Linked DNA regions of Caenorhabditis elegans. The protein of the gene in region 1 purifies or fractionates together with the protein of each later gene. This does not show direct contact. Each region holds a gene or a part of one and is shown on either strand. Other genes may lie near its edges.

Region 1 (16,367 bases):
TACATTGAACGAAATATTTCAAAAATCGAAGGAGTTCACTCAATTGTGGTTGCACTGATTGCTGCGAAAGCTGAAGTCATTTATGATGGTCGGGTAACATCTTCCGACGCGATTCGGGAACATATGACGGGAGAACTTGGATATAAGGCTACTCTTCTGGATTCTATGGGAGCTAATCCGAATTATAGCAAGATACGGTTGATTGTGAGTTTTGGATTTTGGTACCAAAAACATTTTTTTTTTGAATTCCCAAACATACTCAAATTGCCCAAAAATATATCATTTTTTGAGAAAGTTTAGCAAAAAAGTTCAAACCGCTGAACAATTTTTAAATTCCCGCGCAAATGGATGATTTAATTTCGACATTTTTTGAAATTCGTTCGAAAAATTGAAAAAAAATCAAAAAAAAATTTATTCTATGGCATAGTGGGCGGCAAACGATTTTTTCCTGCAAATCGGCAAAATGCAGGAATTGAAATTTTTAGGCAAATCGGCAAATCGGCAATTTGCATAGGCTTTGAAATTCTCTAGAATTTTTTTTCAAATATTGACTGGCAATATATGTTTTTTTTTTTCGAAAATTTTAGGAAATTCGGTAATTACCAAGCTTAAAATTCGAAAAGTTTAGTGAAGAAATGCGGTTTTTTCTAAAACCTAAAAAGCTCCCCAATTCTGTGTTATAAAATTTTCAGTAAAAATTTTCAGTCGGCAATTTCTGAGTTATCGAATTTTTAATCCGTATAAATTATATGAAAATGATTTCAGATCGGCAATCTCTCCACAGAAAGCGACGCGAATCGAATAGAATCCCATGTACTTTCAAAATCGGGAATTGACTCGTGTAATGTCTCAATTGCTACATCAATGGCTCTTGTCGAGTTCTCTCCACAGGTTATTGGTCCGAGGGATATTATAAATGTTGTCGAATCACTTGGTTTCACCGCAGATTTAGCTACTCGAGATGATCAAATGAAGCGGTTGGATCATTCGGACGATGTTAAAAAGTGAGAATTGGTGTTTTTTTAAAGGTGGAGTAGAGTCAAAAAATTTTTTTGCTTTAAATGACAGAAAATATACACAAATAACCGAATATAACTGTAAAAAATTTTTTTAAAAATTTCTAAATTTTTTATGATTTTTAAAATTTTTCAAAAATCAAAGAAACGGCTGAATAAATTTGAATTACCGCGCAAATGAGTGACGTCATTTTTGATATTTTCGCGTTTTCTGGCTAAATTCGTCGGTTTTTCTCAATTTTTTCTTCTATATTTGATTTGAAACATTGTTTGTCAATTATTTAAAATAGTTATTTTGAAAAAAAAATTAATAATAAATGTTAAATTGCGGATTTTAGGCCAATTTTGCCATTTCTGGCAATTTCCTTAGGGTTATCAAGTTTTTTTTTATGGAAAAGTGGTTGAATAATTGACAAACGGTGTTTCAAATCAAATATAGAAAAAAAAATTGAGAAAAACCGACGAATTTAGCCAGAAAACGCGAACATATAAAAAATGACGTCACTCATTTATTAAATTCAAGTTTATTCAGCCGTTTCTTTGATTTTTGAAAAATTAAAAAAAATCATAAAAAATTTAGAAATTAAAAAAAAATTTTTTTACAGTTATATTCGGTTCTTTGGGTGCATTTTCTGTCATTTGAAGCAAAAAATTTTTTTGCCTCTACTGCACCTTTAAATCGTGACTTAAAAAAATAATTAGGAAAAACCCACTGGTTTTGGAAAAATATTCAATTTGGCTAATCAAATTATTTTAATTACCACGCTTTCAGAACAGAAAATGAATCAAAAATGTATTATTCTCCAAATATCGGGTTTAAATATACTTTTTTAATAAATAATTTTCATAATTTTTGTCGAAATTAAGGAAAACCAGAGTGCGGCACAGAAAAAAGGGCGTAGCTTACTTAGAGAAATAATCGCGGTAATTAAAATTAAGAAATTAGAAAATCTGTCGAAGTCATATTTTCAATTTCAATATATATCATTACTTATCATTACTTATATATAAAAAAATAATTCCGTTTGTTCCATAGTTTGTAGTCTATGTAGTCTTTGTAGTCTGTGACGTCACACCCAAAGTCACTGAGAATTGTGGGCGGGGTCTGTCATCCTTCGTGGTGAGACCCATCGTGGCGAGACCCATCGTGGCGAGACCCATCGTGGTGAGACCCATCGTGGCGAGACCCATCGTGGCGAGACCCATCGTGGTGAGACCCATCGTGGTAAGACCCATCGTGGTGAGACCCATCGTGGCGAGACCCATCGTGGCGAGACCCATCGTGGTGAGACCCATCGTGGTGAGACCCACCGTGGTGAGACCCATCGTGGTGAGACCCATCGTGGTGAGACCCATCGTGGCGAGACCCACCGTGGTGAGACCCGTCGTGGTGAGCCCCACCGGGGTAACCCCCAAAATTTTGGCGGGAAATTTAAATTTTCGGAGAAAAAAATTCTGGCGGGAAATTGAAATTTTCTGAGAAAAAATTATTTTGGCGGGAAATTTAAATTTTGTGAGAAAAATATTTTGGCGGGAAATTGAAATTTTCTGAAAAAAATTATTTTGGCGGGAAATTTAAATTTTGTGAGAAAAATATTTTGGCGGGAAATTGAAATTTTCTGAGAAAAATATTTTGGCGGGAAATTTAAATTTTCTGTGAAAAATATTTTTGCGGGAAATTTAAATTTTCTGAAAATTCTAAAATTCTGGAAATCTAGAATCTTCTGGAAATTTCGAAAAAATTCTCGAATGTTCCAGAACTTTCTAGAAAAATTGGGAAAAGTCTGGAATGTTCTAGAACTTTCTAGAAAAATTGGGAAAAGTCTGGAATGTTCCAGAACTTTCTAGAAAAATTGGGAAATTTCTAGAATGTTCCAGAACTTTCTAGAAAAATTGGGAAAAGTCTGGAATGTTCCAGAACTTTCTAGAAAAATTGGGAAAAGTCTGGAATGTTCCAGAACTTTCTAGAAAAATTGGGAAATTTCTGGAATGTTCCAGAACTTTCTAGAAAAATTGGGAAATGTCTGGAATGTTCCAGAACTTTCTAGAAAAATCGAGAAAATTCTGGAATGTTCCTGAACTTTCTAGAAAAATCGCGAAATTTCTGGAATGTTCCAGAACTTTCTAGAAAAATCGGAAAAAGTCTGGAATGTTCCAGAACTTTCTAGAAAAATTGGGAAATTTCTGGAATGTTCCAGAACTTTCTAGAAAAATTGGGAAAAGTCTGGAATGTTCCAGAACTTTCTAGAAAAATCGGAAAAAGTCTGGAATGTTCCAGAACTTTCTAGAAAAATCGAGAAAATTCTGGAATGTTTCACAACTTTCTAGAAAAATTGGGAAAATTCTGGAATGTTCCAGAACTTTCTAGAAAAATCGGGAAATTTCTGGAATGTTCCAGAACTTTCTAGAAAAATCGAGAAAATTCTGGAATGTTTCACAACTTTCTAGAAAAATTGGGAAAATTCTGGAATGTTCCAGAACTTTCTAGAAAAATCGAGAAAATTCTGGAATGTTTCACAACTTTCTAGAAAAATTGGGAAAATTCTGGAATGTTCCAGAACTTTCTAGAAAAATCGGGAAAATTCTGGAATGTTCTAGAACTTTCTAGAAAAATCGAGAAAATTCTGGAATGTTCCGAAAAATTGAGCTTAGAGCTTTAGAAGAGGTAGTTATTTGGGAGTTGATGGGGGATTAAGTCAAGGTACTGTAGTGGTACTATAGGGGTACTGTAGGTATACGGTAGGGTTACTGTAGTTTTGGAAAAATTGGCATTTCGTCCTTTGAAGAGGTATTGAGTTAGGAGTCGGTGGAGGATAATGTCAAGGTACTGTAGTGGTATTGTAAGGTTACTGTCTTGGTCAGAAAGTAACAGAACGTTTTCATACTGTCTGTGAATTTTCGAAACATGCATGTCGTAGAAAAATACGTGTAACAGTGCCAGTAAACCGCGTTTAAGTGTGTCAAGTTTTTTTCATGATGAGAAATTTTTTGAGTGATTGAAGGTATGTGTGTCAAATACTTTTAATGGTGCCAGTCGTTGCCCGCGCCGTAGGCGCGGTCAGCGGCTGGTATATATTTTTTTTTTTCCGACTATTTTCAAGCAAAAATTCACAATAACGGTATTTTCAGATGGCGTAACACTTTCTTCATCGCATTAATATTCGGAGTCCCTGTAATGATAATTATGATAATCTTTCACTGGATTCTCCGAACGCCAATGCATCCAGACAAACAAACACCAATTTTCACTCCAGCTCTTTCACTTGACAACTTTCTGCTTTTATGTCTTTGCACACCGGTTCAGGTGAGAATTTTCAGTTTTACACCAATAAAAAGAAGTTTTTTTGGAGTAGCCAAAAAATATTTTTCAGTTACCAAAAAAATATGTTTTGAAAAATTCTGAAAATAACATTTTCCCATGAAAAACACGAAAAAAAGGAAAAAAATTCAATTATAATTTTAAGAAAAAAGAGCTTAAACTTAAAATTTTATGAATTTTCCAGTTATCGACAGGCTAATAAATTTATTTTCTTTTTTTGCTTTTTTTTCAAAAATTGAAAAAATAATTTTTTGGCCAAAAACACGAAAAAAATTTTTTTTTTTCAAAAAACCCAATAAAAACAAATTCGGGTATAATTTTAGGACTAAAATTTTGTTTTTTTGTTATAAAAATTTTTCTTCGAAAATTGCGAAAAAATAAATTTTCCTCCGAAAACACGGAAGTAAAAGCAAAAAAAAATCGACTATAATTTTTAGGAAAAAAAAATGGAAAATCGAAAAATCTGAATAAATTTCGTTCGTTTTTTTAAAATTTTTTCCGGGAAAATCGGAAAAAAATTTAGAAAATAAACCATAAAATTCGCTTTTTTATTTAATTTCGTGTATATTAATGGGAAAATAACATAAGGAAACATAAAAATGTTCTCTAAAAATAAGACTAATGATACAAATTTTAAGAGAATTTTATTTAGAATAGTCTATAAAAAAATTCGAAATATTGAAAAACTAAAAATCGGAGAAACACGAACTTTTTCGCTTTTCAAAAAATCTAAAAACCGACACCCCTGTTCTGGAGGTAAAATTTAAAATATTTTCTTCTTAGTTTTTTAAAAAATTGACAATAAGAAAATTGCAGATTTTTGGCGGTCGATATTTCTACGTAGCCTCATGGAAAGCAATAAAACATGGAAATGCAAATATGGATGTACTAATAATGCTGTCCACAACCATTGCCTACACCTATTCAATCGTAGTTCTTCTCCTCGCAATCATTTTCAAATGGCCGTCGTCTCCAATGACATTTTTCGATGTTCCACCAATGTTAATTGTATTTATTGCACTTGGAAGAATGCTGGAACATAAAGCAAAGGGGAAAACATCTGAAGCTTTATCGAAACTTATGTCATTACAAGCAAAAGAAGCTACACTTGTCACAATGGATTCGGAAGGACGGTTAACGTCTGAAAAAGGAATAAATATTGAATTAGTGCAAAGAAATGACCTGATTAAAGTGGTTCCTGGCGCTAAAGTTCCAGTCGACGGAGTTGTAGTTGATGGAAAAAGTTCGGTTGATGAGAGTTTTATAACTGGAGAATCGATGCCTGTCGTTAAGAAACCAGGTAATTCGGATTTTTGTTGCAAATTTTTTTTTCGGAATTTCCTGAAATTTTTCAAAAAACACAAAAAAAACGGTTACGGTCTGTTTTTCAAAAAAAATTTTTAAACGTTTTTTTGAAAGCTACAAACAAAAAGTTAGAAAAAATTTCCAAATTTTCGCGTTTTCCCTAGTTTTTCTTGAAGAAAAGCGAGAAATCAATGTTTCCATCAAAAAACGAAAAAAAAAAGAAACATTTTTCGTTTAAATTTCTGCAAAACCATAACAAAATCGAACATTTATCACCAAAAATTTAAAATTTTCAACTGTTTGAGAAAAAAATTATTCATTTGGAAAACGAGAAAAAAAATGTTTCTAGCCAATACACGAAAAAACAAAACATGTTTAGTTTGAAACGCTATTTAGAAGAACTTATAAATTTTTGATTATAATTATCAGTGTGATTTTTTTGGAAAAAATGCAAAATTTAAACATTCATGTCGAAATTTCTCGCGTTTTTTGCTCACTATTTTTTCGAAAAATCTACAGTCATGCTCACGACTGTATAAATATTTCGAAAATAAACTTTTTTCGTTATTTTTTAAATTCAAAAAAATTATTTTGTCATTAAAAAATCCAAAAAAAGAACATTTCTGTTCAAAACCGAATTGTAAGTTATTTTTCACAACAATAATTTCTAGGAAGTACTGTAATTGGTGGCTCGGTGAATCAAAAAGGAGTTCTAATTGTGAAGGCAACACACGTTGGCAATGATTCTACACTCTCACAAATCGTCCGTCTCGTCGAAGAAGCTCAAACGAATCGTGCTCCAATTCAACAACTTGCCGATAAAATTGCCGGATACTTTGTCCCGTTTGTCATTGTATTATCGTTGTTCACGTTGGGAGTATGGATCTATATTGAGTACAATTCGGCGAGAAATGCTAATTTGGTAAGGGAAAAATAGATTAAATACTATAAAGTTGGATTCAGAATGCTCGAAAACGTGAATTTATGATTATAAATTTAGCAGCAAAGAAAGAAATTCATGAGCAAATTTTCAGTTGGATCTTTAAAAATTGATTGTCGTGCTTTTGAAAATTTTCAAAAAGAGCTGTAAATAAGAAGATCGAGAATTTCGTTCCTCGCTGCTAAATTTCCCAAATTAAAGCCCGCCAAGATCTTGGCTTTTCCAAGATCAGCTTTAAAAAAAAAAATTTTTATTGCATATTGCAAATTCGATTTGAAAAATTAAAATTTAAAGCCAAAGCCCGAGTTTTAATCAAAATCATGTATTTTTCCAGCCACCCGGTCTTCGATTCGAAGAAGCCTTGAAAATCGCATTTGAAGCTGCGATTACTGTACTTGCAATTGCATGTCCTTGTAGTCTGGGTCTCGCAACGCCCACCGCTGTTATGGTTGGAACTGGAGTTGGAGCAGCAAATGGTATTTTGATTAAAGGAGGCGAACCATTGGAGAGTGTACATAAAGTGAGTTCGGATTTAGAAATTTGGATGTCACTGTCAAAATTTTAAACATTTTCTCATATTAACAACACTAAAAAACATATTTATTTCAAATTCAAATAGAAGAGACATAACCGAAATTTTGAAACATCGAAAAACAAAAATTTAGATGTTTTTACTTCCCAGAAAAAAAACCTTGTTTCTTAGAGTACCATTTTTTTATTTTCACTCGTAAATATCAGAAAATAATTTTTTTAAAATTTCACGAAGCCACTAAAGATATAATATATCCAAATTAGTGTGAAATCAGAAATTGCACGAAAAAACGAAAAAAAATCGAGAAATAAAGAAAGATCCATTTTTCAAACCGCGAATTTCGATATTTTTCAGGGAAAAATAAATAAAAAAGAAAAATCGAAACATTAACAAAATTATCTTTAATATGAACAAAAAAAGCAATATTTATCAAATCTCAAATTTTTTAATCACTCTTTTTTCCAGGTAACCACAATTGTTTTCGACAAAACTGGCACAATCACCGAAGGACGTCCACGAGTAGTTCAAATTGCGTCGTTTGTAAATCCATCTACAATGTCACTAAAACTTATCACATTCCTCTCCGGAGCCACTGAAGCTTTGTCGGAGCATCCGATTGGAAATGCGGTAGCGGCTTTTGCGAAACAGGTATTTTAAGAGTAAAGAGAGTAAAATATTTCGACCAAAAAAACGAAAAAAAATTGTTTCAAACTTGGATCAAAAAACAAAAAATCGGATTTCTCCAAAAAAAAACGGAAAAAAAAAGTTTTTTGATTTTTTCATCATACCAACCAAAAAAAACCAAAAAAAAAATCTATTCTTGCAAAAAAAAAATTATTAAAAAACCAGAAATTTATTTTGCCGAAAAAAAAAACAAAAAATCAAGAAACAAAAAAAAACCAAAAAAAAAAAAACAAAAAATCCATTTTTGCCAACAAAAAAACAAAAAAAATTCGATTTTCTCATCATACCAACCAAAAAAAAATACAAAAAAAAATCAATTTTTGCCAAAAAAACTGAAAAAAAACAAGAAAATCCATTTTTTCAGCTTCTCAATGAGCCAACTTGGCCGAACACTTCCCGATTCCATGTATCTGCTGGACATGGTGTTACCTGTAGAATTGACTCAATTCGGCAGTCGTTCTCGTCTTTGGCACTTTCTGGATCTACTTGTGAAATTCCAAGGCTTCCTGATGGTCAAACTATCACGATTCCTGGAACCGAAGTCAATTTACTTCAAGTTTCTAGTAAAGAAGGTAGTCTTTTTAATTTATAAATGAATATAAATTCATATAATTTCAAGTTAGCCAACCAAACCCGGACACTGCGAACATTGTGATTGGAACCGAAAGAATGATGGAAAGACACGGAATTCCCGTATCGGAAGTTGTGAAAATGACACTTTCAGAAGAACAGAGAAAAGGACACATTTCGGTTATTTGTGCAATTAACGGTAAGTTTTTGTTTCGTTGATTTTCAGAGAAAATCAAAAAAAATCGGAAAACGATAAAAAAAACAAGCAAATTTATTTAAAAATCAAGAAGTGACTGGAAATTATTGGAAAATTAAAATATTTCTCAAAAATAAAATTTCGCTAAAATTCCCAATATTAACACCTAATTTTAAAAATTTCAGTGTTCAGAACCAAAATTTTTCAGTTTTTGTTCGAAAGCTACGGTACCCGGTTCTCGACACGACAAATTTTCTTACTGTAGTTGCTAAAGTTTTTTCCCAAAATTTTGTGTATTCCTTTTTCACTTTTCGCTTCTTCAATAAATTACAGTTATCCTTAAAGGCGTACACTCTTTTGAATTTGAATGAATCATTCGTTTATTTTTGGAGGGAATTTTTACCTTGCCTTTAAAGATTTTTGCTGAATGTTCGCCGTTTTTAACAAAATTTGAAATTTGGACCAAAAAAAAACAAAACACTTTTTAATTGTATTTCTCCTTCCAAGTAAAATTTACAATTTTTGAAAAAAAAACTGTTTTCTTGGTCCAAAAACTCAAAAAAGTCATTTTTTCCAAAGAAAAACCAAAAAAAAACTAGTATATTTTTCTTGGTCTTGGATCTTGCTCTTGGATCTTGCTTTAAAAATTCTTTTACTCCACTGAAAAAATCCTTTTTTTTTAATGAAAAAAGTCAATTTCGTCTGTCAAAACAGCTGTAGTTATTGACAAATTAACTATTTCAGCGGAAGTGGTTGCTGTAATTTCAATTGCTGATCAAGTTAAAAAAGAAGCATCACTTGCAATCTATACTCTACGTGAAATGGGTCTTCGTGTCGTACTTCTCACAGGAGATAACTCGAAAACTGCAGAATCAACTGCGAAACAAGTCGGAATTGATGAAGTATTCGCAGAAGTTCTTCCAAATCAAAAGCAACAAAAGATTAAGCAATTGAAAGGATACAAAAACAAAGTTGCAATGGTTGGAGACGGTGTCAACGACTCGCCGGCTCTCGCAGAAGCCAATGTTGGTATCGCAATTGCTGCAGGAAGTGACGTGGCAATTGAGTCAGCTGGAATCGTACTTGTTAGAAATGATCTTGTGGATGTTGTTGGAGCAATTAAGCTATCGAAAATGACGACGAGAAGGATTCGATTGAACTTTTTGTTTGCAATCATTTATAATGCGATTGGAATTCCGATTGCTGCAGGTGAATTTTAAAAAAGTTATTTCGAACAAAAAAACCGATTTCAAATGGTAGAATAAAAAGTGTTAAAAATGTCGAAAAATTTTCAATTTTCCGAAAAACGAAAAAATTGAAAAAAAATGTCTAGAACATTTTTTTAATTTGAAATTTTAAATATCAATTTTTTTTGAAGAGAAAAACTTTAAAAATTATATTTTCTCTGAAAAAAGAAAATTGGTCAAAATTTGTAGCTATTTTTCGAAAACCCGGGTAATTTTTTTTCGAACAAAAAAAATCAAAATTTTTCGACTTTTCGAATACCCGGAAAACGAAAAATCGTCTAGAAAATTTTTAAACAATTCAAAATTTTATCAAATTCGGTTTATCTTGTTGAGAAGTACTTAAGAAAAAAAATTTCTGAAAAAAAAGAAAAATAGCTTAAGTTTGAAGCTATTTTTCGAGAAAAAAACGGAAATTTTCTACTTTTGTCTGGAAAATTTGAAAAATTCAAAATTTAATGAAATTTTCGTTGATTTTCGTTGAGAAAAAAAAAGAAGAAAATATTGTTTTTCTAGAAAACGCTATTTTTCCAATAACAAAAAACAATCCACTTTTAATAATTTTCCAAATTTCCAGGTGTATTCCGCCCATTTGGCTTCATGCTTCAACCATGGATGGCTGCAGCTGCAATGGCTCTTTCCAGTGTCTCCGTGGTTTCTTCTTCACTTTTACTCAAAAACTTCCGAAAACCAACGATTGCAAATCTCTATACGACGAGCTTCAAACGACATCAGAAGTTCCTCGAATCGGGCTCTTTCCAAGTTCAAGTGCATCGAGGCCTAGACGATTCGGCTGTTTTTCGAGGTGCTGCTTCTTCAAAATTATCAATATTAAGCTCAAAAGTTGGCTCACTGCTCGGCTCAACAACAAGTATCGTGAGCTCTGGGAGCTCGAAAAAGCAACGACTTTTGGATAATGTTGGATCAGATTTAGAGGATCTCATTGTGTAGTTTTTTTGATTTTTTATCCAATTTTTTGTACATTTTGCGTGCTTCGTTTCGTCATCTCACTCTCATCACACACATACCGACCAAATTCCATTTTTTACGCGGTTTTATTGTTTTAATTTGTGATTTTTTGCCTTATTTTCTTGTATTTTCCAAATTTTGAATCGAATTTAATAAACATTTTTTAAAAATTTAACTATAAATTTTTGATTTTAAATCTCAAAGTATTTTTCAAATTTTTATATCTCTGGAAATTATTGCAACAAAAAATTATTCAAATTTAAATTTTCGCCAAAAACTACATATGTATTGTTTTTTCTTCCACGGCCACTAGGCCACCGATATTTTTTCGTCATTTTCCATTTCCAGCTTAATTTCCAGGCTTATATCACATAAAAATGGGCCAAGAACGTCTCGACAATGCAAATCCAACACTTTTCGACTCAAAACCACGTCATCGACCTGTTACTGGCACTGAAAGGTTGGTTTTTGGAGGGTTTTAACGCAAAAATCAAGTTTTAATCGTTAAAAGTTTACTTTGAATTCAAAAAGAGCATATTTTCACGGTTAAGTTTTTATATAAATAAAGTACAGAATTTTTAAAAAATTCCGCAAAAAAACAGCGAATTAATAAATTGAAAATTCGAATTTTCAGCCATTTTTCGTATTTTTTCAAATGAAAATTTATAGTTTGAAACGTAATTACTTCGATTATTAAATTGAAAACACAGAAAAATCAAGAAAAACGCTTTTTACCTGTTATTTAAACGAAAAACATAATAAATTTAACAAAAACACGATAAAATACGAAAAATCGCATGAAATCCAAACATTTAAATAAAAAATTCCAGTAAAATGGAAGAGGAGATGAATTTTTGACACTTTGAAGCTCCAGAACATCTGTGTCAAAAGTGTCGGTTTTTAGATTTTCGAAAAAATAAAATCGAAAAACGAAAATTTTCCGTTTTTTGATTTTTAGATTTTTCGATTTTCCAATATTTCGAATTTTTTTTCGATTTTTCTAAAATTAGCTAAAAATTCTGATAATTGTTCTTCTGTTTAGAAGACGTTTTTATTTAAACAAAATTAAATTTAAAAAAAAAAAGAATTTTCTGCTGAGTTTTTTTTAAGTTTTTGATTTTCCTTGAAAAAATAGAAAACATCGAAAAATGAATTTTTTGTGTTGTTTCGCTTGTAAAAATTGGCTCTCAATTCCACTACATTATTTTTAATTCAAAAAATATGATTCCAGAGATGAAAGCGTCGAAGATCCAATCGATTCGTGGGAGATTTTCGATCTGATCAGAGATATCAACGATCCAGAGCATCCATATACTCTCGAGCAGTTAAATGTGGTTCAAGAGGAGCTTATCAAAGTGTTTATCGACGAAGAAGAGACCTTTGTGAAGGTAACTTTAATTTTAAAATAACTTTAAAATTTTTTACAATTTTTTACAAAACATTTCCAAGAAGCTTCCAATCTTTGAACAGAAATTCTACAGCATTGATTGGAAAAAAGTGAAAAAAATGCGCTTGAAAAAATATTAAAAATTGGTCTCAGCAATGCAGGGCTCTCCTGATATATTTAATCAAAATATACTGATTTAATTGATAAAAAAAGTTGATTTATCTTGCTTTTATTTAAATTGGAACAATTGATTTTTCCAAATATCAGACAATTCTTGAGCGTTTCCCAATTGTTCCAACTGAAATAAACTTTTTTCAGGTAAAACAAATATTTTTTTTCTACCTTCTATCACTAAATTTTAATGAAAAATATTGCGAGAAAATTATTGATTGGTAATTTAAAATTAATTTTTTTTTAAATTTGAAAAAAAATTTCAGGTGAATTTCACACCAACCATTCCACACTGCAGTATGGCAACACTAATCGGTTTGGCGATTCGAGTGAAACTTTTGAGATCTTTGCATCCGAAAGTTAAAGTTAGCGTTTCAATCACTCCAGGATCACATTCTACGGAAGAATCAATTAACAGGCAGTTGGCCGACAAGGTAAGTTTTTAATTTTTGATGAAAATAGTAAAATCTATATAATTTAAAAACCATTTATTTTTGCAAAAAAATCGAAAAAAAACTCTAAAATTGACTTTTCTGCTGAAAAACGCCTGTAAAATTGGCAAAAAACTGTTTCGAACTATAGTAATATGTAAAATGAGGAAAAATCAATAGTAAATAACGACTTTAAAAATTTTTAAAAACTATGTAATTAGCTTTTTTTTTTGCTAGAAAATGTCTAAAAAATTTGAAAAAAAAGTTTAAATCATAATTTGCCAAAAAACGTAATTTCAAAACTCGGGCATTAATTTGCGCAAAAATTTAAAAAAATCACTAAAACTTTAAAATTCGCCAAAATTCGATAATTCAACATTTCTTCTTAATATTTTATGCTGAAAACCGTCTGAAAACATTAATTTGAATTTTTTGATTGCAAAATGGCAAAAAAATCATTTTAAAAATTATTTAATTTTTTTAATGGTTTATTTGGAGATTTCGGTCTATTTTTATACTTTGCATTTTTTATTTTCGAAATTTTTTGAAATTAAATTTTAAAGTATAGAAAATAAGACCGAAGTTTCCGAATAAACCAATAAAAAAATTCAAAAAAAATTTAAAACATTGTATTTTTTAGTTTAGAAGCAAGCCCCTCAAAAAGTTAATTTTTAAAACATAAATTCAAAATGTCTCATTTAGGAACGAGTAGCTGCTGCAATGGAAAATCAAGGACTAATGCACGCTGTTAACGAATGCCTCAGAGTTCCAGAATAACCAAAAAAAGATCCAGATTAAAGTTTTTGTGATATTAAAAGTTGCCTATCTATCAGGTTTCGAATAAAAACGTGTTTAAAATTATTTAGTTTTTTTGTCGAAATTTTCATTTTCATAGGTTAGATTTAAAAATCACCAGAAAAGTATCTAGATTCAGGGAATTTATTTTTTTGTTGAAAAATTAGTGATTAAGAATTCGAAAAAAAATGTTCAAAAGTGTCAGGATGTTCTCAACGAAAAAATCACAAGGAAATTTGCACAAGTGAGTTTTCTTCCCCCATCAAATATAAATTTATTTTTCAAATTTAAATTTCAGATATATTCAACGGCAATCAACAGACGAATTTGCGGTTAAAGCTCGTGAGCACAATTACCGAGCACGGAGCGCCTTCAAATTAATCGAAATTAATGAGAAATTCAAATTTCTGAAACCGGAGAGTACTGTAATCGATATTGGATGTGCACCTGGCTCATGGCTTCAAGTAGTTGTGCAGAAGTGTCCAAATGGATATGCATCGGGTGTAGATTTACAAGTAAGTTATTAAAATTAGTTTTAGAAAAAAAAACGTTGTGCCCCCAAAAGTTGGGTCTCGTTAGGTATTTGACTGCAAAATCGGAAATAAAAAAAGTTTTTTCTTGTTTTTTGCCGATTTCGCTAGTTTTCAAGAATTTTAAGTAGTTTGTTTAAAAGTGAATAATTTTTTTTTCATTTGTCACCCATTTTGGCTTACAATTATTAAAATAAAAGAACAAATACACGACGGAAAATGCTTGAAAAGTAATTTAAAATTTTTGAATTTCCGGTTTCGCCGCCAAATACCTAACGAGACCCACGTTCCGGGGGCGGAGCTTTTTCATCTTGCATTGGAGCGCGATTGCATTTCAATTTCAAAATGCAAATTATTACAGAATGTTCTCCCAATCCGCGGTGCCGACATCTTATCACTCTCCGATATTACCGATCCAGCAGTGAAACTGAAAATTCGAGAAAAACTAGCACATCGGCAAGTGGATGTTGTTCTAAGTGATATGGCACCAAATCCGACTGGAGATAACGCTACGGATCACTTGAGGCTTATCGAGCTGTGCCGATCCGTTTTTCGATTATTTTCAGTGGAAAATGAAATTGAATTAGTGAAGAATGGAGTTTACTTGTGCAAGGTTCGCTGAAATTAATAATAATTCTTCTTGACTATAATTTTTTTTTTCCAGATTTGGGATGGAAGTGCACGTGCCGAGTTCGTCCGTGAACTTTCCGATCGATTCTCAACTGTCAAAACGGTCAAACCTACAGCATGTCGTGACAATAGTGCAGAGCTCTATTTATTTTGTAGAAATTTCAAAAAATAAATGTGATTTTTTGTTTGCAAATCTATTATTCTTGTGAATTTTTATTGGATTTCGCGGAATTCCATATATATTTGTTTTTAAATTTCTTCTATTATAGTTGAATAATTATTTTTTAGTTCGAAAATGCCGTGGAGAACTGCACTGAAAGTGGCTCTTGCCGCTGGAGAAGCAGTCGCAAAAGCGCTCACAAGAGCCGTAAGAGATGAGATCAAACGTGAGTTTTTTGCAGATAAACCAATCGAAAATTGTCGAAAATTATCGAAAGTTGTCGAAAGTTGTCCAAAATTGTCGCAAGTTGTCGAAAATTATTCAAAAAATATAAATTAACATTTTTTCAGAAACCCAACAAGCTGCTGCTCGTCACGCCGCCTCCACTGGACAATCTGCAAGTGAAACAAGAGAAAATGCGAATTCTAATGCAAAATTGGGTATCTCATTAGAGGTAAGTTGTAGAAAACTCAAAGCTCTTCAAATTAATGATTAAAAATAAAAATTTCCAGGAATCCTTGCAAATTCTGAACGTGAAAACTCCATTGAATCGAGAAGAAGTCGAAAAACACTACGAACACTTGTTCAATATCAACGATAAATCGAAAGGAGGAACTTTGTATTTGCAGAGCAAAGTGAGAAAGTCTATTGAATTATAATTTAACCTGTATTCATTCCAGGTATTCCGTGCAAAAGAGCGGATAGACGAAGAGTTTGGACGAATTGAACTGAAAGAAGAAAAGAAAAAAGAGGAAAATGCCAAAACTGAGTAGAAACATTCTTATTACTTTTCTTGTTCACCGGTAAAACTTTCTGAAAAATCAGACCTTTTCTCAATTTTTGTTCATAGTAGAATTTTTCGTTTTCGTTTCTAGGATTCCTTGTTGTAGAGTTTTTTCTGTTTTTCCCGTGTTTTCTTTTAATAAATATCGATGTTTGATATGCGTTTATTTTTATTAATTTGGTCAATAATCTTTCCAATATTATATTTTGAAAATTTGGTCTTTTCGAAAATCGAGGTGTAAAAGCTTTCCACCGCTAAATGAGAACGCATGGATTTAAAAAAATTTAAATAATTATTTCGACATAAAAAATCATTTAAAAATAACTGAAAACATAACAAAAACTAAGAAAAATGTCTTAAAACGTTAGATATTATGATTCTGCCGCTTTTTTTTTTACCTAACGAGACCCAATTTTTGGTGGTGGAGCGTTTTCATGTGCCGTTGGAGCGGGATTGCATTTCAATTTCAAAATTTATTTTTTGCATCCTTTATCCTTATCCAAATCTCAGAGATAAATGGCTCCAACATTGGCAGAAGCCGAAAAGTTCCTGAGAAATTCGAAGATTGACAAAATTGTGCTGGAGAAACTGGCGGAGATCTTGGTCACAACGATGGATGGTAAGAAAAATCAGAAAATTTAACGTTGAATTTGATTGCTTCTAAATTATTTGTTTATTTTCATTTTTTGTAATTAATAATTATT
Region 2 (16,850 bases), about 10 Mb from region 1:
GAGAGACGCAGAAAAAATCACCTGTGAAATCGATGTGAAAACACGCTCCACGGCTAAACGTAAAAGCTCCGCTCCCCAACAGTTGGGTCTCGTTAGGAATTTGGCGGGAAAACCGGATTTTCAAATTTTCAAGCAGTTTTCGTTGTTTTTAATGTATTCTCTATCCCAAATCGAAAAAAAAACAATAATTTCGGCATAAAAATCAGCGAAATTCCCAGTTTTTCCGCCAAATTCCTAACGAGACCCAACTGTTTGGGGGCGGAGCGTTTTCAATTGGCAGTGGAGCGCGTTTCTGCGTCTCTAATCTTTTTTTTTTGTGCCCGCCCGGCAATACATTGACCGGTCAATCAGTTATCAGAGACGCGAAAAAAGAAATCATCACCGGGTTTTATAGGTGTTTGTCCTACAGTCTAACTTGAATTTTTGAAAAAAAAAATTAAAAATTTTTTAGGGGATATGGAATACCCAGTTCCTTATTTTGGACTTTATTGCTAAATTGAAAAAAAAACAATTTAAAAATATTCCCTGGAATTTTTGTTTATTTTTTTAGTATTACGTGAACGCAAAATTCAGAGAATACGTATTGCACACCATATTTCACGCGCAAAATATCTCATAGCGAAAACTACAGTAGTCGTTAAAAGGATTACTGTAGTTTTCGCTACGAGATATTTTGAGCGTCAGAACTTTGTGTTTACGCAATATCAACAAAAAAAAACTAGAAAACTTTCAATTTTGGTTCATACGATAGTTTTTTTTTGTTGAAAAAATCGAAAAAAAAAAAACAAAATTTATCGATTTTCAGATTTTTAAATATAAAATTAAACTATTTCAAATTTTAAAATGTTCTAAACTTCTCCTCGGGGAGTACGCGTCCTATAAAATTTTAAAATTCCAATTTCCAGGACAACACGCCACCACCTCCACCGCCATCTGCAATGTAAATCTGAAATCCTCTACCGTCCGTCTTCTGTAACACTCTCCTCTGCCACCAACCATTCCTGTGTATAAATTGAAAAAATCCAGTTTTATTTTTGCAACTGGAATCCTCTGGGTCCTCCTCTTCTATTCATTCATATGCTTTTAATTTTCTCTCCCCTGTGCTTTGGGTATCACAATTTTCGTCTCTCTTTTTTTTTGTCAAATTTTCTGTGAAAATCGCCTACTACTAGTCCCTACCAATTTCTTGTACATTTCCGTCTCTCTGGGAATATGAATGAAGATTCGAGATTATTCGAGAGAGATAATTGTTCACACATTAAAATTAAATTAAGGAATGAGAGAAAGAGAAAGGGGGAACACGACGGAAAAAAGTGAACAGGAGCTGAAAGAAGGAAAAACATGAGAATAAAGTGAAAAATCAGAGAGAGAATACACACAAAATGGGGGAAAATGAAGATCAAGTACACGAGGAACCGAGGCTTTTATAGGGGGTCCACTCCAGACAAAAAACATTAAAATTCAAGATGGAATAGCGTGAATTTGCTTTGAAATAGCAAAAAATGATGAAAATTGACAAAAAAACGATAAAAACCCGGAAAAAATTCAGAAATAATGAAAAATTCATGTTTTTTGCTCAACTTTTGACAAATTTCCCCGGTCATTGGTCGAAAAATGGGCGAAGCTAATCGCTAATTGGTCGAAAAAAAGAATTAACAAGCCTCTGATTGCAGGACCAATCAGCGATTTGCTCCGCCCTTTTTTGACCAATCAGGGGAAAATGTCAAATTTTACGGGAAATTAGCTTGAATTTTATTGTTTTTTGTGGGATTTTTTTGGAATTTCAATTATTTTGGCAGGTTTTTTTTTGGGTTTTTTAAAAAGCGATTTACACTATTCCACCATAAATTTTAAAGAATAATTAAATTATGTAGCTGTGGCGGAAATAGAAATAGGCAGGCAGGTGTGAGGTAATATTTAGAGGAAATACGGAGCAACGACACGATCCGGCTTCTCACGGCTTCCATCGGGAACTGCGTTGAAATATTTCGTCGAGCGATTGTTTCCGTCGATTTCGAATACGGCCGCCGCGTTTCCGCATCGATAGCAGTAGTTTGGAGCTGCAATTTATCCATTTATTTGAAATTTCTTTTTGTAATAACTTTTAAAGCAATTTCAGTTTTTTCAGTTAAAAGTGTTTTATTTTCTTTTTTCTGTTTTTAAATTTTTATCGTTTCCTTTAATCCTTTTTTTTACAGTTTTTTTAAAATCAGTTTCTTTTAGTTTTTTAATAATTTTTTTAGCAATTTCAGTTTTTTTCAGTTGAAAAATAGTTTTTTCTTCTCTTTTTTCAGTTTATTTGAGGTATTTTTCAGTTTTCAAGAAAATTTCCAGCTTGTGCGATTAAAAAAATTTCAGTTTCCAAGTTTTTAAGTTTTTCAGTTTTTTTTCAGTTTTTAATGAAAAAACATTAAAACTTTTTTTCGGAAAAAAGGAGAAATTCTTAAAACCGAGAAAATTTTGTTTTTCGATTTTTTTTTTGAGTTTTTTGAATGAATTTTGATAAATTAGAATTTTTCAAAAAAAGTTCGAAAACGGGAAATTATCGGAAAATTTCCGTTTTTTTTTTCAAAAATCGACCCATAATCTTTTTTTTGGAATTTTTTTTCTAATTTTTCAGCAAAATAAAAGAAATTCTTACCCGACCAAACGGTAGCGAGTTTCTCATTAAACATATACTTAAATCCTTCGTCAACGAGTTGATGGGACCGGCAAAGTAGTGAAAGATCATTATTCATTAGGAATTCTTCTGTCACTTTTGCTCCGAACACCTGCAAAAAAAATTAATTTTAAAGTGGAAATTCCAAAATTGACAGGGCTGTCGTATTTTTGGCAAAAAAAATAAAGGTTTTTTCGGACCAAAAAACAAAAAAAACTATCAAGTTTCAGTTGGAAAAAGAAAAAATCCAAATTTTTTTGTTTTTTTTGCCCAAATTCGGCAGATCAGTCAGTTTTCTTACAAATCCAGCTCCTCTTTGACTAATCACCCAATCTTCGACGTCATCATCCGGATCCGACCACATTATGTCACATAGAGGACCCTGCAAATTTGGAAATAATTTATTTAATTGAAAATTTGAGTTTCTCCATTTTTTTTTAGTAAAAAAAAATAATTTTTGAAAATTTCCAGTCATTTTCATATATTTTGAGTAAATTTTCTAATTTTTCGTATTTTTTTCGCAATTTTTTGAAGAAAAAAAAACGAGAATTTTTCATTTTTCGGAAAAAAAAAATTTTTTTTGCAATCGAAAAGTTAATTTTTTAATTTTTTATGAGAAAATCCAAAGAATTTTAATAATCTTTTTTTGGATTTTTCAAAATCGAAATTGTTCATCTTTTTGAATATATTTTAAGATTTTTCTCATCAAAATCATTATTTGATAATTTCGGTTTTTCAAATTTTCTCGGTTTTTTATTCAATTTTTTAAAACAAGACTTTCGTATTAAAAAAACAATTTTTTTTTTCGTATTTTAGAGTAAAATTCTCCAAAAATTCCCGAATTCTCGATTTTCTCATTTTAATCTGCATATTTTTGATAAATTTATAGTTTCTCGTATATTTTTTCTCAATTTTCGGATTTTCTTCCAAGAAAAATGAAACTTTTGAATAAATTTATATTTTTTATCTCTAAATTTTCAATGTTTTCCAAATAAAAACATTTAGTTTTCGATTAATTCCGGTAAATTATTTATTTTTCGATTAATTTTTCACGATAAATTAAAATTTCCAACCTTATTAGGAACTTCTTGAGCTCTATCAAGTAACATAAGACTATCAATTGTTCGAATATCAGGTGAAAGTCCTCCATGTACACACAGTACTGATTCATCAATTAAAGCTCCAATTGGAAGAACGTCGAATACCTGAAAAAAAATTAATTTTTAGTTTTTTAAACTGAAAATTTGATGAAAATGGTGAAAAAATACCTTTTCGATACAATTATCGGCTAAAAATTGTATTTTTCGACACGTAATCTAGTGCTTGAGCACTTTAAGAGCCAATTATCCCGTAAAAACTCGGATTTTTTCCGCAAAAATTGACAGTAAAAAGTTATTTTCGTCATTTTTATTCTACAAAATCACCTCTCGTTTAAAAAAATAATTTGAAGCGATTTTCGAGAAGAACTTTGGGAGCTCACGGAGCATTTTTAATAATATTTTTTGGAAATTTTCCATTCTGCAGATTGAAGGTTTTCTTTAAAAAAACCAGAAAAAAATCGAGCATTTTTGAGTCCAAAAATTGCACAAAAACTAATTTTGATGGATTTCATGTTTTTTTGAAGTTTTTTAAAAAAGAAAATTACAGAAAAACAATTTTCCGGAAAGTTTATATGAAATTTTTAATTTTATAAAAATTCGACTTATTTTTAGCTTTACTTTTGGAGCCATTTTGAAACGAATTTTGAATTTTTCAGCCAATTTTTCAGTTAAATTTTTAAAATTATCAGAAAATCGCACAAAAATCATTTTTTCATGAATTTTCGCGTATAATTTCGCCAAAACGTTGAATTTTTAACGATTTTTATCGCTTTTTCTGCACGACGAATTTCCAATTTCCATTCAATTTCCATCGCTTCCTTACTTTACAGAACCATTTGTGCACATTTCCGTGTCCATATTTATTCTGACATTCATCGTAGAATCCATAAACATTGGAAATTCGACGAGATTCATGATTTCCGCGGAGCAGTGTGATTTGATTCGGATATCTGCAAATTTTGGAGTTTTTTACAGAAATTTTGGTAGGAAAAAGAATCAAAAAATACTTGAGAAGAAGACAAAAAAGCAGTGTAACAGTTTCCAGACTGTAATGTCCTCGATCCACATAATCTCCCATGAATACGTATTTTGTGTTGGGAACTGTGCCGCCTGTAATGAGAAAAAATGGGTCACGTCACGATTTTTTTTTGTCATTCAAAAAATCAAAATTTAGATGAAAAATCGCTTTGTACTCCCCGAGGAGAAGAATTTCAGAGCTTTTTGCCGAATATATTTTTGTCATTTCTTACTGAAAAAATTCACGAAAAAAGGTTTTTTTAATCGAAATTTCAAGCTTTTTGGATAAAAAAAAAACGATTTTTTCAAACTTTTTTTTTTCAGAAATTCGTATAAAAACTGTTTCTTTAAGGATTTTCGCCTGAAAAGTGGGGTTTTCAAGATTTTTAACGATTTTTCAGTCGAAAAAATCAAAATTTAAATGAAAAATCGTTATGTCGATTTACGCAGCCCGTGTACTCCCCGAGGAGAAGAATTTTAGAGTTTTTTTTGCTGAATATATTTTCGCCATTTTTTATTTAAAAAATTTACGAAAAAAAGTTTTTTTTTCGAAATTTTAAGCTTTCTGGATTAAAAATATCGATTTTTTGACTTTTTTTTCAAGAAAATCGTATAAAAACTGTTTTTTAAAGGATTTTCGCATGAAAAAAAGTGATTTTTTCTAGATTTATACCGATTTTTCGGTGAAATATTCTAAATTTAGATGAAAAATCGTTTCGTGTCGATTTACGCAGCCCGTGTACTCCCCGAGGAGAAGAATTTTAGAGTTTTTTTGCTGAAATTATTGATTTTCGACGATTTTTCAAATTAATAAATTTAAACGATTGTTTTTTTTTCAGAAAAACTTGAAAAAATTATAAATTTTCAAATTTTGCACCCTTTTTCCACAAAAAACACTCAAAATTGCCAAAATATTTGAATTTTTCACATAAAACGTCGCCAAAACTTCTTCTTCCGTCGAAAAATCGAAAATTAGCTGTAAAAATGAATTTTTCGAGTTTTTTTCATGTTTGAAAACAGAAAAAAAACCGTATGGCCTCTTCCACGGCCCTGTGTCGATTTACGCAGCTGTGTTCTCCACGAGGAGAAGTGTATCACAATTTTCCGGCTAAAATGCTTGATTTTTAATTATTTTTTCGCGATCTTGTTGTAAAAAACACTTAAATCGCCATTTCTAGGCGAAAATCTAGGTTTCTATTGTTGAAAATATGAAAATTCTTCGTTTTTAGCAGTAGTAAAATACTTTTCCATCTGAAAAAGGCAATTTTAATGTTAAAAAAGCGAAAAATGGCCCGAAAACAGTGAAATTCTCCTCCTCGAGGAGTACACGAGCTGCGTAAATCGACACATTATCGATTTTTTCGATTTTCCGGCAAATTTTCGAATTTTTCATTCAACTTTTGAATTTTTCATTCAATTTACGAATTTTTTTATCCAATTTCTCGATTTTTTTTTGGCTAATTTTCCGATTTTCCCGGAAAGTTTCTCGATTTTTCGGCTGATTTTTTGAATTTTTCATCCAATTTTGTGACATTTCCAATTCGAATCCGATTCCGTACCAGTTTTGAATAATTCGAGTAAATCATAAAATTGTCCATGAATATCTCCACAAATTGTGACAGGCGACGAAACGGGCACCACATTGGCTTCCAGTGATAGACGATCGATTAATCTGAAAAAATGTTCAGTTTTTGAGCCGAAAATTGCTGAAAATTGCTTTTTTCTTACGTTGCACAAAGAGCAACAGCGTCAGATTCGGGCAAGTATTTGCATTCGCTCGCCCACGTAATCCATTGCTCCGGCTCTATTTTTCGAGATCTGGAAATGAAAAAAATTAAGTTTTGTATAATTTTGGAGCTGAAATTTAAGTTTTTTTTTAGAAATTTGCAAAAAAATTCGAAATTTTTCGCAGAATTTTTCAATTTTGAGTAAAAAAAATCAATTTCCAAGCTCAAATCGCCTAATGTAGATTTACGCAGCTCGTGTACTCCCCGAGGAGAAAAATACTAGTTTTCGACTAAAATGCTAGATTTTACATTTTCGCTGTTTTTTAAAAGTTTAACGTTCAAATCGCCGATTTTTCGCTTTTTTGGTAATTTTTATGCTGAAATTCAGCATTTTTAATATGGAAAACTGCTGGAAACGATGATTTGTAGTCGATTTTCATTTAAAATAATTAAAATGACAATTTTAATGTTAAATTGGTCAAAAATTGAGCATTTTCTCCAAAAACTATAAAAATCTTCTCCTCGAGGAGTACACGAGCTGCGTAAATCGACACAAAGCGATTTGTGCTTGGAAAATCGCATTTTTCGCTTGAAATATCCAAAATTTGGTACCCAATAAAATGCGTTGTGCTCTTTTCGAGCTCTCCTTCATCGCACACTGTCACCCGAAGAAGGTTTGTGTCGATCATTCTGAAAATTTTACGGTTTTAAATGAAAAAGAAGCTTTTTTCCTGTTTAAAATTAAAAAATATATGAAAAATGGCTGAAAACCTATCGAAAAAGTGGAAAAAAGGGAATTGAAACTCAAAAATTGTTCATTCGAATCCTATAAAACGGCGGGAAAAAGTGATTGGAGTGTGATGAAATAACGGAAAAAACAGAAAAACAATAAAAATTACTAGCTATTCAAAAAAAAACTACAAAAAACCGGAAAAACATTAAAAAACCAGAGGAAAATTAAAAGAAAATTATTTAGAGACGACTCCAACTTGAGCAGGCCGAATTGGACGTTCTTTCAGGCTGTAGCCGATCTTTGTACACACTTCGATATGTCCGACAGGTTGTTTGGCCTGAAAATGGAGGAAATTAAGCATTTTGTGGCATTTAAAAAGGATTAAATAAGCCCAAATTGTTCAAAAAATACAAGATTTGGCTCTTTTATTTCGGAAAATTCGGGCGGTTAGCACTAACATTAGCAGATGGAATCTGGAAAACGGCTTCGTGGAGATTGGGGTCGAACTTTTCATTGGTTGGATCCACGGTCACAAGGCCATGCTTTGCGAATGTCTTTGCCATGACAGTACGGGTCATTGAAACTCCTTCGAAAAGATCTTTCAGAGCTTTTCCTCCCGATTCCAGATCTTCTGGCTTCACAGACTTGACGGCAATGTCGAGAATATCGGAGACCTGCAAATTTGGAATTATTTTAATTGTTTTTCGGTTGATTTTGATTTTAAAAATCGAACCTCAAGTAAATCTTTGCAGAATGATTGGATTGCAAAAACCTTAGCATCGTCGGTTTGCTTGATACCTCGCCGACGAACATTTTCAGTTTCAGCAAGCGATCTTTGATATTTATCCTTAAAATCCAAGCTTTCGGCCTGCAAATCGTCGTATTCCTTGAGAAGAACATCAAAAGCACCCTTTGGAATCTGTGTCTTGTCCTCGCCGGCAATCGAAGTAAGAACAATTTCTTCATAGTCGGCTCCTGGTTTTTTTTTAAATATTATATCAGTTTTTAGAATTTAGAATTTGTTTTAGAGTAAAAATCGCTACCTCTGAGTCTCTTTCCGTCTTTTCTAATCTCATAATTGACTTCTTCCGATGATTGTGATGCCGTGGCGCTGAATCTTTGAATGCGCAAGTTTTTCTGAGTTTTCCTGCAATGAAAAAATTTGATTTTCACCGTTATTCAAAATTCAAGGAACTTACAGCGTTTGTTGAACAGCCTGGCCGACGAAAGACACTCCTTTGCGCAGCATATTGTCTGAAATTGCCAAAATTTGAAGAAATTAGGAATAAAAAACGAAAAATCGGCGGAAATTGGTAAAAAACGAAGAAAAAATTAATAAATTTCATCATGACAAGAAATGCGCCAGCACATGACTCAAGTGCGCCAGTAACGTGCTGGCGTGATTTTCGTGCGTGTCTGCGTCTCCATGCTTTGCACACTCTTTTCGAGGAGTTTTTAAGCGGCAATTTAAAGTGGAAAAGGGCAAACTGTAGCAGTTTTTTCTTAACTTTTTCTGCAAAAATCTGTGTATTTCCGCAAAAAAACACAGCAAATCCAACAAAAAATTTATTATCAATGCTCTAAAAGCCTTAAACACAAAAAAACCAAGATTTGTCACTTCTTATGTTCGCGTTCTCCATCAAAATCTGGTCGCTTCGGTACAAATCGATATTTGACAATTTTCGAATCATCTTTTCCATCAGTCACAGGTTCCAGGTGAGCTTTCGCGAAATGCGGTGATGTGACTGGAAATCTGGAGCATCCTCTGAACGTGACGCTTTCTCTGGATTTCACGTAACTCGGCGCATGTCGGCGCTGACCTTTCCATTCTGGGGGACGCTGAAAAAAAAGTATGTATTATTGCAAGTGCGCTCCAGTAAACTGAGCGATTCCGGCTGTCACTCACTCTTAAGGCATTCAAAGCACCCGGACTTGGAATTGCATATCGAGCTGGCTGGGCTATTGGTTTTGGCACATATCTCGGAGCACTTGTGCTGGTAGATCCACTGGAAGAGCTGCTGATTGGCTCAACACGAGATCTGTAAAGAGTTGAGGAGATATCCGGCATGTCAAAATGATCTGATTTCTTCGAATTTTCGGGCGGTGCAGAGCTTCCGGTGGTTGAAGAACTACTTTGAACTTCTTTTGAATCAAATATATTGTGAAGTGCTGTGGCAATGTCGGGCATCTGCAATAATTTTCCATTTTTGCCAGTTTCATATTCAAATTACCGCCAAGAGACTTTGTTCAATAGAGCGCGCTTGCATTATTTTAATTTTTGTTTTTTTTTTCTCATCAATTCTCTGAACTTCTTCATTTTTTGTGAATTTTCACTGAAAATTTGAATGAAAAGTCAAGATAAATGCAAATTGTTCATTAGCTTTTCAAATTTTCAGTAAAAATACACAAAACATGAAGGAATTCAGTGAAATAATTAGGACAAAAAAACAAAAACAAAAAATAATGCAAGCGCGCCCCATCGAACAAATCGTCTTGGCGGATTTTTTCATTTTCAAAAGTTTTTTATTGAAAAAACCTTAAAATTTGACTTTTTTTTCCTGAAAAATTGAAAAAATCGATACTGACAGATTGGCAAAATTTCGCGGAATTTTAAGTAAATTTTTTAGCAATTTTTTTCGTTATAACTAACAGGAGATTTCTGGCTTCCGAGAGCTCCATTATCTTTCTTTTCTGACTCAAATCCTCCAATTGTACTCGAAGAACTATTCATTTCGTCCGATTCCACCACCACGTGAGATTTGTAAGGCGTTGAGGAAATATCCGGCATGTCAAAATGGGCTGATTTCTTCGAATTTTCAGGAGTTGCAGAGCTTCCAGTCTTCAAAAACGAGCTCATTCCTTCTGACTGAGCTTTGTAAGAGGCTGAGGTGAAGCCTTCTGGCTTGATATAGCGAAATTCTGGTCTCTTAATATATCCTGGAATAAGCTTCAAGTTCCTGGAGTTACTTTCCGAGCTAAAATTGAATGGTTTTCCTGAATTCACCACATATCTAACTTCTCCAGTGTTCAGCTGATCCGAAATTTGTGTTCGGCCTGGAGGGCCTGGAGATGCTGTGATGGGCTTTCTGGAGCTGCTGCTGGTGCTTTCAAAATAGAACGGCTTCCCATAGCACGCAGAACTTGTGCTGGGCTGATCAGGCTTCAGATATTTCGCTAGAGGACTTCCGAAGTCACTTGAATCTTCCCCATCCTGGGTTCTGTCAGACATCAATGAAATATCCTCTGGATTTATCAGCTTTACATCAGGCTTCTTCCTTGGTGTAGGCTTTTTGATGCCGACTTTTTTTTCGATTTTATCAATTTTCCATTTCACTTCCGACACGTCTTTCCGACTTTTCTGCAGCTCTTTCTTGAATAAATCTGCGAATTTCCACGAATTTCGAACTTGAATCGATTGGTTTGAAATTTGTGATTCTTTAGCTTTGTTCTCCTTCATTAGTTTAACATTTTCTTTTTGAATATTCACAAATTCCACTGAAAACACTTTAATCTCATCCTCTCGCATTGTCAATTTCTCCGTTAACGCAGCTTTTTCTTTTTCCAATCGTTCAATTGTTCGTTGTAGATGTACAATAAATTGGGTTTGATCACCACGAGAAGATGGATTTAGAGTGATTGAATTCGATGTTGATGGCGTGTTTTTCTGAAATTTAGAGAAAAATTGAAAAAAAATTATGGAAAATTTAGTTTTTTCATGATTTTGAATTATCGGCGAATTGCCGGAATTGAAAATTTCAGGCAAATCAGCAAATTGCCGGAGTTTAAAATTTCCGGCAAATTGGCAAATTGCCGGGATAGAATTTACCGGCAAATTTCGGGCAAATCGTCAGATTATCAGGAATTGTAATTCCCGGCAAATCGGTAATTTGCCGGAATTGAACATTTCTGGCAAATCGGCAAATTGCCGGAATTGAAATTCTCGGTTTTTAAGAATTTTTCGCAATTTTTTGTTTGCTTTTTCGGAATTTGTTGAGAACTTTTTTTCGGTTTTTAATAATTTTTCACAAGTTTAAAAATTTTTTCATAATTTTCGGGATTTTCTTGAATAACAAAATTATCTTTAAAAATTTAGAACAACAAATGGCAAAAAATCTGGAAATTCCTTTAGAAAATTTGTAATTTTTTCAGCTCAAAAATAGAAAAATTCCAAAAAATTTCTCATTTTTTGCTGTAATTGTTCCAAAATTCCACCCACATCATCGTCTCGTTTTCTTTTCAATCCAGCTGTATTTATATAAACAAATTTTGGAGGAAGCGGATTTTTTGCAGGAACTGATGATAGGACTGGAGCATTGACACGTGGAAGGGCTTGTGTTTTAACAATTGTTCTTTGAGATACCTGGAAATAAAATTATTGAAAAAAATGTGTTATTCAATTTTTTTTTAACCTTTAATTTAAATTGAATTGAATTAAAATTTTTATTTAATTAATAGAAAAATAAGATTTTTTTAATTTTGCAAAATAATTTTGAAAATGAGCTGAATATATTTGAATTCCCGCTGTTTTCAGGCATTTTTCTACATTTTTAAAAAGTAATTAATACCAAAAAATAACCCCGAGAACCAACCCTTGGAACAATTTCTGTTTTCACTTGCTGTCTGACAGGAGATGAAGTAGATGCAGTTTCAGAAGTTTTCATGAGATTCTGTGAAATTTTCGCCTGGCGGGCAATTTCCAAGTTCGCTACCCGAAAATTGAATTTTCTAGGCTGCGGCGGAGAAGGATTCTGAAAAATGGAGATTTTAGGATTAAAAAAATATAAATTAAATTACCACGTTCAGAGGCTCCGCATCTTCCACAATATTTCCAGCATTTATCACAGGATCCTGCACATCAATTGGCTCTGGAGCCACATCTTGCTCCGCTTGTTCAGCTTCAAGACGGGCATTTTCAGCCAATTGCTGCTTCCTCTTTTCCCGAATCGCTTCCAACACTCTAATTGATGCTTCCTTTCGTTTCCTTTTGTTGTACACCTGAATTTGAAAATTTTTAAAATATAAACTAGAGTAATTCAAGAATATACCTTTTTTTTCGTCATCTTTGCACGTTTTTGGTGATTTCTCAACTAAAATAAATTGTTTTTACTTGGGAAAATGCAGATCTCAGCAGAAAAATAGAAAATCGAATGGAAATTTAGCGAAAAAACGACTCAAAACCGTTTTCAGCAGCCGATTGTTTTTGTTTTACACACGTGCGGTGGAGCGCGCTTGCATCGCGCAAAAAGTCTGCAGACACCGTGACGGTAATTCACATACTGGGTACTGTAGTCAGTGAAAAAAAAAACAACACATTTTAATTGACGACAATTCGTAAAAATTGAAAAAATGTTTTCAAACTGGGTTTTTTGAAAATTGTAGAACAGAAATTGTGAAAATTGTCAGTTTTCATTTTAAAAAAAATCAGAGAAAGTCTAAACTACCGCATTTTTTGTAGATCTAGGCAGATCAAACATGGGACACACTGACACCACGTGCTTGAGCTAATCTGTAAATTTAAATGCTTTCTTTAAAGAAAATATAAATACTCCAACCTCAAATCTTCCATCAATTTATTCTTCTCATTTTCCAGATGTGCAATGGTGGATTCAGCTTCCTTCTCGATGCGATTCACCGTCATGGATCGACACTCGAAGCAATCCACGTCAGGAGAATCTTCAGTGGTAAGCTTCCAACTTTCAGGATCCCACAGCCCACAGCATACACCGTGTACAGACTTGGAACAAGTCTGACAGTCCACTTTGCGCCCATTGTATGAAGTTGCCAGTTTCATAGTCTTGTCCTTGAAAAATCACATCGCTGCTCTACACGGCTCGGATGGTGACTTGTACCCGTTGACTTGGCGATTCTTGAAGTTTTGAACTATCTGAAGAGCACATTTTGTTCCTGAAAGAAATTCTTCCAGCTCCTCCAGTTTTTCAGCTCTATCATTGACTACTGCCTTCGAGATCCTGGTTTTCTTGATGTCACCCCTTTTTAGTTGCATGGACCTGCTGATCGACTGTCCTCGTAGCGAAAAGCACTGCATGCACTGATAGGTACTGTTTCCTCCCTCATGACCAATAGCATCGCATTGGAACTTCATATCTCCCCCAAGATACTGCTCCACAGGTACATCAATGTCCTTATCGCCTACTTTTATCTTTAGGAACAATAATCGATTGAGTTGTTCAACGATGGGACCTAGATACTTTCGAATGTTTTCACTGCTTTCGTCATCATTGAAAATGCCAAGTGGAATTAGATGGAAACAGCTGTTAGGTTGGGAGACATTTCCAATTGACAAACATAACTTGAATTCTTCTGATCCTTTATCGCCGAGGATCGTAAGCCAAATAGGATCGTCTCCAACTACCATCTTTCCATTAGCAACTAATTCATTAATCCTTTCAGTTAACATTTTGACGACGTCGAGCAGATGAACGGCGACCACGGATTTACCGTCAACGGTATGCTCGGTGACCTTTAATTGATCCGAGGAGCCAACAACTTTCTCCAGCTTTTTGATCTCATGAATAGATGGCAATGGATCGATACATCCACTTCCTCGCAGCATTTGTTTCAACTTGGTGAATCGTCTTCTCGTGAGGTTGCTGGCGTGATAGAGATATAATCCTTCCCTCTTTGACATCTTCCATTTCAGAAGACCCAACTTACTCAATCTTCCAAGAAGAAGGCAGTAAAATTCAGAAGCTTCGCCGCCTAAAATCACTTTAAATAACTGTATTTATAGGTATTTCTCACCACATCGCTGAAGTTCAGCTCTCGCTATCTCTATTCTCCTAAACTTCTCGCTCCTGCTGATGAGATTTTTGAATTCAGTTTTGAAAGGTGGCCGTTTCCCTGCTTTCAGGTCCCGAATCATCTTAACATCTTCCACTTTTTCCACATCTGCCATTCGTAATTCATCATTTTTTCCTAAAAGTTGCCGATCTAATTCACTTTTTGCAGTTTCCAAACGACGGTTTTCAGTTTCCAAAACTCCTTTCTCCCGTTTCAACTGCGAACTCTGTTTCATCGTTTTCAGTTCTTCTTGTACAGCCTAAAATATTATCTATTCCAGCAATTTCTTATCTCTATTATATACCTTGTACTTATCATTCAACTTTCCCAACTTTTCAGAGTGCTCTCCATTAAGCTTATTCCTAATTTTTTTCAGTTTTATTTCAGCATCTTCTTTCAAAAGTTTTGCATCGCTCACGTCCCTTGTCAGCTTTTCATTGTCTTGCAAGGCACGTTTCAGGTCGGATGATAAAGATACACCAAGCGGCGTCGTCATCCTAAGCGGCGTAGACATGGCTTCCTGTTAAAAAATGTCACTTTGCCCAGAAAATTTTTGCATAGATTCCTTGGAGGTGTCCTACCCTTTTTAAAGCACAACAATATTTAATAACATTTATTATAGTATAAACAATTTAACTTTTCAGGATGACGAGGATGGTCGGCATAGATCGATGGCGAGGATGGTCGGGATGCATCAATGACGAGGATGGTCGGGATGGACGGCTCGCGACAGGACCGGTACCTTCGAATCATTTACTATTTTTTTTCAGGTCATTTTTTAGTTATTGTAGACCAATTTCGAAAATTAAACCCCGTAGGGCATTTTATTCTTCCAGATTCGTCGACCCTCCGAGCAGCTCCAACAGCAACAACAATGGCTCCAACCTCCCCAACCGCTCCAACAGTAACGACGAAGAAACGAATAATCTATAAATGTATTGTAAATAAAATATTGATTAATATTTTTCTGTCAATAAAAAATACTTTATTTCAAATTTTTTCTATAAGTTTCAAACATTTAAATTAATTTTCAGGCTTTTTTCAAATTAGAAAATAGCGGGCGCAGTTTCGCTCGCTATATTCTGGACTGCTTTAATAATTTTTAATATTATTTTTCAAGTTTGGGGGAAAATGAGAACCGCGAGCTCATCAGCAGTATGTTCTCCTTTTTCCCCCAAATCTCACCAGCTTGTTCGATACATCTTTCCGATTCCTCTTGGAAGCGATCCCAACAAACCGAGCAATTGCAAGTTAAGAATCATATTCGACATCGCTTCCTCGTCCGCTGCGAATTCGTCATCTGTCTGAAAATAACAAATTTACACTTGAGAAATAATTTTCTAATATCAATCGCATTAACAAATTTATTTTATTGTTTATTCAAAATAAAAGCGAGCGCGGTTTCGCTCGCAATACTGGACTGCACTCTTTGAATTTAAATTAGACTTTTTTGCAATTTTACCAGAGAAGAAAAGGAAACCGCGAGCTCATCAGCAGTAAATTTCCTTTCCTTCTCCAAAATTTACGATCCATTTTTCGTGATTTCTTGAAACTTTCATCAGCGACCACAGCGTTTCAGTTTATTTCACTCCAATCCATTTCATCGATCCGGCAAGACCCTTTTCGTTGCACCTCCGCCCGATTTTTTTAAATATTTTTCTGAAAATTAAGTTGACGGCAAGATAAAAAATTTATTATTTATTTTTCAACAAAAAATTAACTTTAAAAATGGCAAAAAGCTATATTTTAAATGAATGGAAGAAAATAAAATAAAATCACAATCTCTCGTAAATCCTGCCCGCTTGTCTGCCTTTGCGCGTCAATTCGCGTGTTTGCGGCCAATACACCGAAAAACACCGATGAGACAGCTTGACTACACGTGAACAAGGAGAATCCTGTTGCGAAGGCCCCAGTCCCACAAGTCAAGGCACGACGGATCACTTCCGTTTATCAAGTAGACAAAGTAAGGAAGTTCGTGGAGAAAGCGGAAGAGGCGAGACTCATAGTAAAGAAGTTGGGAGAGGAGATTCAGAAGGAGGAGGAGGATCTTCGGAAGGAGGATGATGAGCTTTGGAAGAAGAAAGTGGAGACTCGGAAGGAGGATGAGGGGTTTCGGAAGAGGAAGAAGGAGTCTCGGAAGGAGGAGGACAAGTCTCCGAAGAAAAATGAGGAGATTTGGAAGGAGGAGGACAAGCTTTGGGAGAAAAATGATGAGATTTGGAAGAAGGAGGTGCAGTCCCGAAAGATGATGGAGGAGATTCGGAAGAAGAAGGAGAAGCACTTGGTGGAAAAGGAGAGATGGACCAAGATGGAGGAGGAGCTTGAGAGGGTAAAAGAGCGTGAACAGGTAAGTATTTTCATTTGGAAAAGTAACTTCTCTGTTTAACATAACTTTATTTAAGAAAGTTTTCGCGGGAATCAAATTTTTGAATCAACTTTTAGTGGGAATTCGTAGTTTTAGTTTTTTCTTTAAAAAGTGTTTCGAGAGTACAAAATTTCAGGCGTTTTGTGTAATTTCTCCAATTTTTGACGTGATTTTTATAGAAAAAGGAGAGCAGCCTGAATAATTAAAGGCGGAGCCTTTTTTGCGGTACTGTATGCCTCACTTTTTGAAATTCAGTAAAGATAGTGATTTTAGCTGAAAATAACTTTTTCTCAAAATTTTAAACGATCATAACTTTTCACAAAATTCGGTAGTTTTTGGGTATAACCTTTAAAAAAATACCAAAGAAAATGAACACGTACATCCCAAACACTTACAGGAGATCCTCGATAAGCTTCCTGGATTGAAGCTCCAAAACCCTGGTAATTCA

The links.
Region 2: the proteins of F45G2.8 (region 1) and C34C12.8 fractionate together in Caenorhabditis elegans (co-fractionation; one large-scale study listed by BioGRID). This does not show direct contact.

The regions. Positions count from the first base shown.
Region 1 is NC_003281.10:13,434,311-13,450,677, reverse strand, and holds F45G2.8 (Mitochondrial import inner membrane translocase subunit tim-16), read left to right. Parts: upstream 1-15,007; 5' UTR 15,008-15,014; coding exon 15,015-15,105; intron 15,106-15,229; coding exon 15,230-15,333; intron 15,334-15,391; coding exon 15,392-15,514; intron 15,515-15,559; coding exon 15,560-15,652; 3' UTR 15,653-15,817; downstream 15,818-16,367. Other genes in the region: cua-1 (P-type Cu(+) transporter), read left to right, coding at 1-204, 766-1,004, 4,146-4,320, 5,152-5,635, 6,312-6,562, 6,915-7,100, 7,578-7,760, 8,161-8,368 and 3 more; ciao-2B (MIP18 family protein F45G2.10), read left to right, coding at 11,153-11,235, 12,007-12,163, 12,600-12,767, 13,467-13,541; F45G2.9 (rRNA methyltransferase 2, mitochondrial), read left to right, coding at 13,766-13,803, 13,858-14,074, 14,451-14,702, 14,754-14,891; F45G2.7 (COMM domain-containing protein), read left to right, coding at 16,180-16,282.
Region 2 is NC_003281.10:3,452,046-3,468,895, reverse strand, and holds C34C12.8 (GrpE protein homolog, mitochondrial), read right to left. Parts: upstream 8,491-16,850; 5' UTR 8,486-8,490; coding exon 8,436-8,485; intron 8,384-8,435; coding exon 8,280-8,383; intron 8,212-8,279; coding exon 7,970-8,211; intron 7,911-7,969; coding exon 7,695-7,910; intron 7,574-7,694; coding exon 7,472-7,573; 3' UTR 7,306-7,471; downstream 1-7,305. Other genes in the region: smim-14 (Small integral membrane protein 14), read left to right, coding at 906-944; pph-6 (Serine/threonine-protein phosphatase 6 catalytic subunit), read right to left, coding at 1,918-2,060, 2,642-2,771, 2,961-3,041, 3,733-3,864, 4,583-4,709, 4,767-4,869, 6,336-6,448, 6,505-6,594 and 1 more; C34C12.2 (Fibronectin type-III domain-containing protein), read right to left, coding at 8,851-9,075, 9,143-9,424, 9,887-10,900, 11,453-11,596, 11,826-11,984, 12,031-12,231, 12,282-12,296; C34C12.1 (Autophagy-related protein 14), read right to left, coding at 13,046-13,956, 13,999-14,296, 14,342-14,551; C34C12.12 (Transposase), read right to left, coding at 14,964-14,964, 15,223-15,341, 15,564-15,596; K01A11.3 (USP domain-containing protein), read left to right, coding at 16,283-16,384, 16,800-16,850. UniProt on the Caenorhabditis elegans protein: Essential component of the PAM complex, a complex required for the translocation of transit peptide-containing proteins from the inner membrane into the mitochondrial matrix in an ATP-dependent manner.